3 linked regions of the Cricetulus griseus genome follow. The protein of the gene in region 1 interacts with the protein of each later gene in a pairwise test. Links are inferred from orthologs where the notes say so. Each region holds a gene or a part of one and is shown on either strand. Other genes may lie near its edges.

Region 1 (4,162 bases):
GTGGTGTGAGGTAGGGATGTGTGTGTGTGTGTGAGTGTGTGTGTGTGTGTGTTTGTGTGTGTGTAGCAGTACTGGGGATTGAATCCAGGGCTTTGAGCATGCTAGGCAGTGTTCTGCCACTGAGCCATCTCCCAGCCTGAGCCCAGGTTTGAACATATGCATATGAATGCAAGCAGGGTTTTGTGGAAGGATTTTTTTTTTTTTTTTTTTTTTTAATGGTACTAGGGCTTGAACCTAGGGCCTCATGCAATGCTAGGCACTGGCTCTACTGAACTATTTCCCCAGGCCTATATGCAGCATTTTAAATAATAATTTTTTTAAGCCAGGAAAAACAAAATATTAAATTTTTAAATAAAAATGTGTGCTAGTAGCCAAGATTCTCCCAGCTGGAGGCTGCTCCACAAGGTGGGCCTAAGGACCCTGTCTTTCTTTACAGGGTCTTTGAAGGGTTCTTTATCTGGCGTTTGTATTCATCTTTTTTAAATTTTCTTCATTTTTTTTTTTTTAGAAAATTGCATCTAAGCGTCACTTTCTTGGTTAGTGTGTGGAGTCCCTCTTAGTGTTGGTTCTTAGAGCAAGAGCCTGACACCCACCCCCCAGTCCTTGCCCTGGTGGCAGAGAGGACCATGAGGGTGACAGCTGATAATGACAGGAACAGGTAATGGTCACCAAGGTTGACAGTGACCTAAACCCCTACCCAACTTCCTTCTGTTGGAGCAAATACTGAACACCTTTGTGGAGAGTGCTGTCCCAGACCTAGTAGGCAGCAAACAGTGCCACCCCAGGACCAAGCTTCCATTCAGCAAACTCAAGAACAGTTTAGCAGATGGTGTGACCCCTCCCCGCTCCTCTACAGGAAGGGAAGTCTATGAGGACCAGGGAGATACCACACAATCCTCTGGCCCACACACCCCAGCCCAGGAAGGAATCAAGCTCAACCCCGTTTTTCAGATAGGGAAACTGAGGTTTGTCCAGAGCCTCCAACCAAGAAGTTACAGAGTGGGGATTACCAGGGGTCAGGCTGGTGCCTGGTGGCTTTTTTTCTGCCCCCCTCCCCACAAGCTGGGGTGGAAGCCTGGTGGAACAGCTGCATAAGGTACTTCAGGGGCCAGCAGGCCAGTCATTTCAATTGCACATGGCAAAGTTGTTCCCATAGGGAAGAGACCAGGTGATCTCTCCCAAGGGTCACAGTTCCTCCTTCAGATCGAGCCTAAAAAGGGGGGCTGACCAGCAGGGGCCCTTTAAGGCTGGCCAGGGGCAAGTTCATTCACCCAGGGGCCCCTGCTGACTCATGCTTATGAAAGTGATTTTCCTGGCCCCGCCCCTGCCTCCGCCTCCTCCCAGCCCTGCAGTGAAATACCCCTGCTAGCCTTGGGCCTCTCACAGCCTCTGGGATCTCCAGGGCTAATGGACATCCTGTTCCTGCAGTCAGTCACCGTGACCAAGTCCCAAACCCTGACCAAGTTCCTCTGAGTGTCCTGCCAACCCAGGTTCACCAACTCCCTCCAGCTACTGCCCATCAGGTGAGTGGCCTGGGCAAGGCTGTGGGTGGGAAGTGATAGCTGTGGGGAAAGGGAAGCCAGACAGGGCAGCAGGGCAGTAAGTAACTTGGTCCTGAGCAGGACTCTGGGATTCCTCCCTGCTCCTCCCAGCCATGTCCATGTCCAGGTGCCTGGGCCACTCTCCCCAACAGCCTCATCCAGCCCATGGAGTAGCTGTTCTGGCAGGAAGAAGTGTGAATAGCCTTGATCCATGGCCACCATGTCTATAGTCCAGTGGGTGCTGTGCCCTGTGTGTCAGGCACAGATGGGCACAGCCCAGGGGTCTGGGCACTAAGCTTATGGAAGGTGCTTGGAGGTGGGGCATCAGGAATCCTTGGGCTCAGGTGGGGCAGGCACTTGAAATAAGTGTTCATTGTGACTAAGGCCGGGTAATACTTGGCTGACTGCGCACTTCCTCACGCCCCAGGACTTTGTGTCACTAGCAGCTGTCACTGTTACTTGTTGCTTTGTTTGGGAATGGAGGGGAAGGGGACCAAACTAGGCTGTCTGAGACCTAGACAAGATGCCTTCCTCTACCCTACCTCAGTTTCTTTCTCTGTGTAGTGGGGATAAGAAACCCCAGCTCTTGAGTATCTTAGAGGCAAATGGTACAAGGCCCCAGCCCTCCCCAGTGTGACAATTTCATAACCTCAGAAATATCTGTGGTGTTACACCAGGGCAGTTATTGACACTTATGAGAAATTCTGCTTTTCATTTTTATGTGCATGGTGCATGTGCTCATACCTGTGGAGGTCAGAGGTTGATGCCTAGCAACTTCCTCAATCGCTGTCCACTTTCTTTTTCTTTATTATTTATTTCTTTATCTTTGTTTATTCAAGACAGGGTTTCTCTGTGTAGCCCTGGCTGTCCTGGAACTCACTTTGTAGACCAGGCTGGCCATGGTTAGTACTTAGATGGGAGACACCTTATTTTTAATCTTTTTTTTTTTTTAATAGAGAAAGTGTGTTGGGGGGTCAGTCAGTCACCCTTAGGGGTCAGGAGTCAGTTTCTCCTCCCATCTTTATTGAGTCCTAGGGATCAAATCAGGTCACCACCCTTATGTAACAAGTTACCTGTTGGGCCATTTCCCTGGCTCTCCTGGACTGAACCTGGAGCCCATTGATTCAGCTAGCCAGCCAGTTGTCTCCAGGCCGCTTCCCTCCAGACCTGGGATTATAGACATTTGCTTTTTACAGGGGCACAAGGGATCCTAACTCAGGTCCTTGCACTGTGAGGCAGGCACTGTACCCACTGAGCCATCTCCCTGGCCACCCACACCAGCAATTCATCGTGTTAACTTTTATGTCACTATTGCCCTACCAGAGGGACATCAAAAAGGGGCTGTTCTAAACTTCAGGGTGGGGGACTCGCTCCTGTAATCTGAGCACTTGGGAGGTGCTGGCAGGAGGATCAAGAGTTGTAGGCCATCAGAGGCTTGGTGTAGTTTAAAGCCACCCTTGGCTGCAGGAGACCCTGTCTCAAACAAACCAGGAGGCTTATTCCAACTCTACAAAATACAGCCAGAGAGTGGAGCTGAAGTGCAGAGAAGTTGTTTTGCTTTATAAATGTGTAGCTAATGTTTGTGGGTGGTTGTGAGGGTGAGCAGCTTGGAGGATGTGACCTGGGGGGGACGGGGGGCCGGGGCCTGGTGGTGACCTCATGTGTATGGCATCCAGCAGCTCCAGGTGAAGCCTCTGCCAGCTGTGCTGGGAAAGGGGCCTGGTCTTGGAGTGCAAAGTCCTCCAAAGTATTAGCCCATCCTACTTCCTGTGAAGCAACTTGGGCATCCCCTTGGATCTGGCCTGTGTGGACAGGGCCTCCTGCTGGCACCAGTGAGGAGTTGTATGCTGGGGTATTACAATGAAGGAAAGGGTTGGCACCTCAGGTCTCCAGGGATACTTGGCATGCTCTTTTTAGGAGTGTTGGAATGTCTAGTAGGGTTCTGCCCACAGGGATCAATTTTCAGTTCTGTTAACTGCTTGTTCTGAAGCTTTGGGGGCATGACTTTTCCCCTGAAACCTCAGTCTCCTCATCTGAGAAGTGGGTTGCTGCTGTTCCTGGGGATAGCAGAGGCAGGAGGGAGAAAGCCCAGGCCCTTTGATGTTCCTCGGGTGCACTTGGGAGGGGATTGCCTTCCAGGAACTGCAGCCTGAATGCCCAAGGCTCTGACCATAGCTGCACGGTCAGTGAGAGACTGACCCTGCAGCAGGCCATTGGGTACAACCACACAGTGCATGATGAGTCTCTGGCCCCTACACTTGCAGGAGCACAGAAAAGGTTCTGGAATGAGATGGCCCGGTACAAGTCCAGTCCCCCTGACTAGATGTAGGATAGGCTCCTTGAAGCAAAGGTCTCCAGCCTCAGTCTCTATCTGTAAATTGGGAGTGATCGAAAGAGTACTTTTACCACTCAGATAAATATTATAAGCATGAACTGGTGTGTGTAGAGGGCTTGGACCTTGAGTAGCAACAGCTCTACGGAAGTCTGACAATGCCTGGTGTTGGCTGCTACAATTACTGCCATTGGTCATGCTACTTCAGTATCCTCTTAGGCCCTGTATGGGAAGGCCATATGGTTTCTAATAACAGCAGGGAGCCACCTGCGCCCTCCCAGGGAGGAGG
Region 2 (3,016 bases), on another chromosome or scaffold:
ACTGGGGGTGGGCTGTATTTATAGCCTCACCCTACTTCCTGTTCTTACTCTTCCCTGTGTGTAGATGCTACCATGATGTTCTCTGCCCCTCTAGAACCATAAAAGCCACAACAAACCCTTTCTTCTTCAAGTTGATTTGGGTGCAACAAAAAGTAACCAACAAAGGAATTAAGGGATCCCGGAAGAACTATGAATAGACAAGCATTGCGGCAAGTGTGTCTCAGAAGGCTTTCCAGAGGAGCCGATGTGATAGACCACTTGTGTCATGAAGTAGCATGGCAGCTGATGGCTCAGCTCAGTCCAGTTGTTAGCAAGCACTTGGAGCTGGAACCTAGGTCTTCCTTTAGCTCACTATTCATTCTGTCTTTGCAGCAAACCCTTAGATTTGCAAATCACTTTTGTTAATTTTGGTTTAATATGGAGATAGGGAGGAAAGTTCCTTAGAATCCAGGAGTTAGAATTGTCATGCTAAGGTAAGTCAATATTAAATAGACAGGACACAATCATTTCACAAAAAAAGATATATTTCCACTCATGGCTATTTACAGTTTCATATTCAGAGAATATCATATAACTGATACCTTCTGCAATGTTTCATGCTTTTCTTTTAAATGCCTCTATTTACATTTATATGACATGGAATTAAAACTAAGATGGTCAAATACCATGATATTAAACAACCAGCAACATAGCTATGTCTTCTTAAATTTGCTGATCAACATTAGCAACAGTTATCTTAATAATAAATTACCATTTATTTAAAAATCAGTAGTAATTTTAAACAATTCATAAATTCATAAATAAGTATGCTCTGTGCAATTTACACATTTAACACCCTGTGGATATTAAACGCTCGTATCTTGTTAGATTTGCACATTATTTATCAGACCATAAATAAGCATTCCGAGCCAGACTGGAGAAGTTTCAGGTAAGGCCTCAAGGTCTTCTGGGTGGTTCTCAGAGCTCGGCCTGCTTCACCGAGGGAGGTTCCAGTTTCCGTGAGAGGGCGGTTAAAATCTGGTTGAACTTCTCGTATCTCTCAGTCTGGTTGACTTCAGCACCCTTGCTGCCCCACAGCAATCGCATCTGAAATTCAGTCTTCAAGATTTCACTCATTTCTTCATCCGGTTGAAAATCTAATCAAAATAAAACAGGTAAGTTCGGTTCTGCCTCAAAAAAGTGAATGAAAGCCTTCCTATTTTACAGTAGAATTAAATGAACTTCCTCCTCTCTGAGTTCTAAAAACTGCTTCCATAGAAAAATGTAGGATGACATCATTTGGCCAGCTTTAAAGAATCCACAAGCCTGTGTCCCCCGGTGAGTGTTGGCTGGCATCTTGTCTGGATTTGTTCCTAACAATTTTACTTGCCATGTGATTCAACTATGTAAGCTGTAAGATTTGATTGATGCTAGTAAATTTATAGATACTTTATTCAGCTTAGAAAGTTCCCTAGTACTCCAGACAGCCAGTCTGTTCCTGCCCCGTCCTAGAGAACCGCTGATGAGCCTTGCTGCTTTAGAAGTCTGATAGAAGTGGAAACATGTGATAGGTTGTGCAGTCAGGGCGCTTTCACTTCGTGTCATGGTTTTCAGATTGTTCTGTGTGTGGCATGTTAGCAATAACACATCCATTTAATTGCTGATTAGTAGGCGTTTATAATATATGGACATATCAGATTTTGTTAACCCATTCACTAACTGATGTACTGTACATGTACAAGCCCGAGTATGGATGTTTATTTCTATAGGGTCATATGGTAAACCTGTGCTTATTTTGAAAGAACTAGTCATAACCTTGTCAGTTTTATATTCACTCATAATATATGAAGATTTCAGTGTCTTCATGCCTGGTTTTTATCAATAGTCTTCATTAGAGCCACTCTGGGTATCTCACTGCATCTAAAGTTTCAATTCCTAAACAATTTTTTCCCTAACAGTTCTGCATCTTCTCTGAGGTGGCGTCTATTTAAATTACTCATTTGGGGTTTTTTTGTGGGTTTTGTTTTACTTGTTTATTTTGGTTTTTTGAGGCAGTGTTTCACTGCTGGACTTACACTCAAATAGACCCACCTGTCTCTGCCTCCCAAGTTGGAGTTAAAGGTGTGCTCTGCCACCGCCTGCTACTCCTTGTGTTTCATGAGGTTTTTAAGCTGTAAGTTTTTCTCCTAAGATACAGGTTTAATTGTATAGCTTGCTTTTTTACTTAATGTTTTGAAGAGCAAAAATTAAAAATCATGATTAATTAGTGTTTTTGGTTAGGCTTTATACTTTTCTTCCTGCCAGGGGCATCATGCGATTCTTTTATATTTTATTACAGAACCTTTTTATACTATAAAGTTGAAAAATATAAGAGCCAAGTGATTTGCTACATAGGTTAGCTTCTTTAATATGTAACATCCAGTGTCATATATACTAGGTGCTTTAATAGCTATTGAATTGTATACTTTAATTATGAGTCACATGCCAAACCTGAGGACCTTGTGTGACTGCACATGTGTGTGAAAGTAAGGAGCCGTCTACCTTGTTTTTCTGAGACAGTATCATTGGCCTTGAACTCATCAAATAGGCTATGCTTGCTGCCAATGGGCCCTAGGGAATCCTCCTGGGTCTCCACATACGCTAACTACCATGTCTGGCTTTTTCATGTGGATTTTGGAGATGGATGTCAGGTCCTCTTTTGACTGAGCCATCTCCCTAGCCCCTGAGGAATCTGTGAGGAAAGTCAAGAAACAAGTATATGGTACCCACAATGCAGAGTCTAGTACTAACATGTAGCTCTGAGGTAACAATATTCTATTAAAATGAGATTGATAGGCCCATTTTTGTCCCACACAGTATCTTGAAGGGTCTGAAAAATTAGAAGCCTTGGCTAAAGTTCTTGGTCAAGCACTTGATTTCTAAAGAGGCTGTCTTCCTTCAGCTCTGCAGCCCATCCTCCACATGTCACCAAGGTGACTCAGTTTAACCCCTCCCGAGCTACAGCCCCTCCATCTTCAGTGCAGTTGGCCTTTCTTCA
Region 3 (3,516 bases), on another chromosome or scaffold:
CACTCGGAAGGCAGAGGCAGGCGAATCTCTGTGATTTTGAGGCCAGGCTGATCTACAGATTGAGTTATATGACAGGTTCCAAAGTACACCCTGGGGGTGGGGGTGGGGGTGGGGATGGGGTTTGGGGGGTTGGGGGGTGAACAGGCACAGATAAGAGCAGACCACAGGTATGACAGCCGGCACATACATACATCAGATACCACACATAGGCAACAAGGACAGACAAATCACACACATACAATAGACAGAATACACTGACTGGTGGTGGTACACACTTTTAATCCCAGCACTAGGGAGGCAGAGGCAGGCAGATCTCTGTGTTGGAGGCCAGCCTAGTCTACAGAGCCAGTTCCACGACAGGCTCCAAAACTACACAGAGAAACCATGTCTAGAAAAACCAATCAACAACCAACCAACCAACCAAACAAACAAAACAACAACAACAACAAAAAAACCAAACCAAAACCAAAAAGAAAACAGAACATACAGACTACAGACAGGTCAGTAACCATAGACTGGAAACACACAAGAAGTGGGCTGGCTCTTAAACTAACCCAAGAGAAGGTTACTTTGTTTTCATTCCTTGAGGCAACATGGAGCATTTTGGTGCCTTCTCTGAGGTTATCTTTAATGCATCAACCAAGGTCTGGCTTCCATCTCACCCACATCCCCATTTCCTCACCTGGAAGTGGAAGATCCCCGCATAGTTTTCAGTGAAACTTTGATCATGGGGTATAACTCGGAAAAGCAGCCTCTCGTTCAGCGTCAGGCAGGCGATGGCTGCAAGAAACCAGCAGTCCCCTGTAGGCAAACACAGACTGTTAGTCAGGTAGCGGCTGCCCCTCTGGGAAGAGAAGACCCAGCTCCTGCCATGAATTCCCCATCCTGAAGAATTGGATGCTAATGTTGCCCACCTCCCTACTTCCTGTCTGCCCTCACCAGGTGTGAACCCAGGCAAGGAGAGCCACAGGAACTCCTCAACAGCCAGAGGAACAGGGTAACTCATTCTCTCAGGATTGGATGTTTTCCTAAGGTCAACTAATTCCTCCTTTTATAAAGAGACTCACTTCCTTCAAGGAGACAGCAGTGGGTGGTCATGGCTGCCCTCCGTTTTTGCTGGGTTAACCTTTTCCCTTTTGGCATCAAGGACAACTGTGTGTCAGAGAACCATCAACTAAGCAGATGTGCATCAGCTAACTGTCCAGGACCAGTCTACAAAGGGCACCGAGACTGGCAAAAGGCATACCCGGTGCCCCGACAGTCCTGCATCTATCTACTAAGGGCACAGGCCAGCCACCACCCTGCTGGTAAGGAGAGGCTGACAACTGCCCAAGCCACCTATCTCCCTCCTTTGAATCAGCCAGCCTATCCTCTGGAAGTAGTGTATCGGTTTGAAGGGCTCAGAGCTTAGTTTGTCCCCAGGCAGTGTCCCTTAGGTGCCCCAACACCCAGTGTCTGCAGCCTCTCTTTCTGGAAGAAACTAAGATGATGCTTTTCAGCTGCCCTTGCCTTTTTTGTGTTTTATATTGCCTTTTAATGATTTCTCCAATTTCCCTCCACAGAGCTTGCCCACAGTCTGCCCCAGGGAGGATGCTTCCAGAACTAAAGGTGAAAGGAGAGGAAGGGCTGTGTAACAGCCAAGCTGACAGAACCTGGGCCTCTCTTCCTCTTGGCAAATGCCACCTCTGTCAAAAGACTCCTTTAGTGTGGAGATGCCTAATGTGATGACCTGAGTTTGACCTCCAGATCCTACACAGAAAAAGGAAACAACTGTTTCCCCACAAGCTGTTCTCTGACCTTCTAGGTTTGTGCCATGGTGTGTGGTTGTACACACACACACACACTTAAATAGATAATTTTAAAAGATTTTGAAATGCATTAAAAGAAGAAACAGAATTTTGTTTTTTCACATCCTGAATAGAGACCACACCTGCTAACTAGCCCTGGGTCGTCTGGCCGGGCATGGTGGAGGGAGTTTCCTACCTAGGTCTCCTTGGCAGATGTCAGTCCTGTTGGCTCCACCAATGATAAATCGGGGATTCTCACAAATTTCCTGCAGAACAAAAAGGAAACAACCAGGTAAACAAACAGCCAGCTGACTGGCTGTTTCCAAAAAGGAAACAACAATCCAGCAATTGTTGGATTTCCAGGCTGACCCGATGGCGTACTGCCCTGGTACCATGGGCTTTACACTCACTGACCCTTACGCCTCCACAGCCAGCGGTTCACGCCAAGAATGTGGACTACCATCACTCTTCTTTTTCAAACCAGAGAGCTGAGGCTGAGAGTTGGGTGTATTGGTGCGTATCTATAATCCCAGCACTGGAGGGGCTGACGCAGGGGGATGGCTAGTTCAAGGTCAGCATGGGCTAAATAAGGAGACCCTACCTTAAGAGGAACAATAAACAACTGAAGATCAGGGAAGGTAAGAAAGCCGCCCCAAGGCTATCTGCTCTTCTCTCCCACACTAGACACAGAATGGCATATCCCTTGAGTACAGACTGGTATGTACCTTGAGAGGCGGGGCAAAGTGGCTACAGAACTCATGGGGAAAGGATGCTAGTAGGAAAAAAAAAAAAAAGATCTTCCTTTCTAAGATGTGGGACATAAATATTTAGAGGCAGCATATATCCCAGCATCTGCAGGTCTTGGCAGTCTGCAAAGAAGATAGGAAATCTAGTGTGAGCCTCACCTGCCCCTCCTAGGTTGTTGGAAGGGGCAAATCTGCCCAGAACAGCAACAGTGGCAGCTGCAGTTTCCAAAACTAGGTATCACACAGCACATCAGCAGTCAACAGAGGGTGCTCTTGATTTCATTCGGTGTTGGCTTTGCTTTAATTAATTGATTAATTAATTTATTTTATTTTATTTTTTTTTTACTTTTAAGCTAATTAAAGATTTGGTGTTTTGATTTTAAGGTTGTTCTTTACAGCTTCAAGAAACCTTGTTATTCCTGTGAAGTGTTCTGTGCTGGCTAGTTTTATGTCAACATGACACAAACTAGAGTCATCTGAAAGGAGGGAAACTCCATTGAGAAGATGCCTCCATAAGATCCGGCTGTAGGACATTTTCTTAATTAGTGATTGATGGGAGAGGGCCCAGCCCATTGTAGGTGGTGACACCCCTGAGCTGCTGGTTCTGGGTTCTATAAGAAAGCTGACTCCCACAACTTGTCCTCTGACCTCCACACATGTGCCATGAATGCTTGTATTCCCCCTGCACACACAGATACTTACACAATAGATTAAATAAATAAATGTAACTTTAAAAAATTAAATTCTAAGGGATTGTCAATAGGCTGTGAAGTACTAGTAACTGATAAAGACTTTTCAAAGAAAAAAGAAAGTTGTGGGAAAACTAAGCCTCAATGGGCCTGACAGCTGGCCTAGAGCATGCGCAATTGATATCTCCTTTCAGCCATCCTGGGTCTGCCAGAGGACCTTGAGAACAGCAGATAAGAGATGACATGGACCTATGGTCAGCAATTACATCAGGTCAGCAGATGCCTGCTCAGTGG

Evidence for each region. The genes of interacting proteins can lie anywhere in the genome.
Region 2: the proteins of Osgin1 (region 1) and breast cancer anti-estrogen resistance protein 3 homolog interact in binary tests that used the Homo sapiens proteins (3 or more experiments, as listed by UniProt). The link is inferred for Cricetulus griseus from reciprocal best matches to the Homo sapiens genes OSGIN1 and BCAR3.
Region 3: the proteins of Osgin1 (region 1) and Capn3 interact in binary tests that used the Homo sapiens proteins (3 or more experiments, as listed by UniProt). The two-hybrid records come from large-scale screens. The link is inferred for Cricetulus griseus from reciprocal best matches to the Homo sapiens genes OSGIN1 and CAPN3.

What each region holds. Positions count from the first base shown.
Region 1 is NC_048596.1:196,070,497-196,074,658, forward strand, and holds the start of Osgin1 (oxidative stress-induced growth inhibitor 1), read left to right. Parts: upstream 1-1,355; 5' UTR 1,356-1,523; intron 1,524-4,162. UniProt on the Homo sapiens protein: Monooxygenase catalytic activity. Involved in regulation of cytokinesis; promotes RHOA activity, probably acting locally at the midbody in late cytokinesis.
Region 2 is NW_023276806.1:35,976,805-35,979,820, forward strand, and holds the end of breast cancer anti-estrogen resistance protein 3 homolog, read right to left. Parts: intron 1,137-3,016; coding exon 958-1,136; 3' UTR 507-957; downstream 1-506. UniProt on the Homo sapiens protein: Acts as an adapter protein downstream of several growth factor receptors to promote cell proliferation, migration, and redistribution of actin fibers.
Region 3 is NC_048599.1:57,997,936-58,001,451, forward strand, and holds part of Capn3 (calpain-3), read right to left. Parts: intron 2,054-3,516; coding exon 1,984-2,053; intron 802-1,983; coding exon 683-801; intron 1-682. UniProt on the Homo sapiens protein: Calcium-regulated non-lysosomal thiol-protease. Proteolytically cleaves CTBP1 at 'His-409'. Mediates, with UTP25, the proteasome-independent degradation of p53/TP53.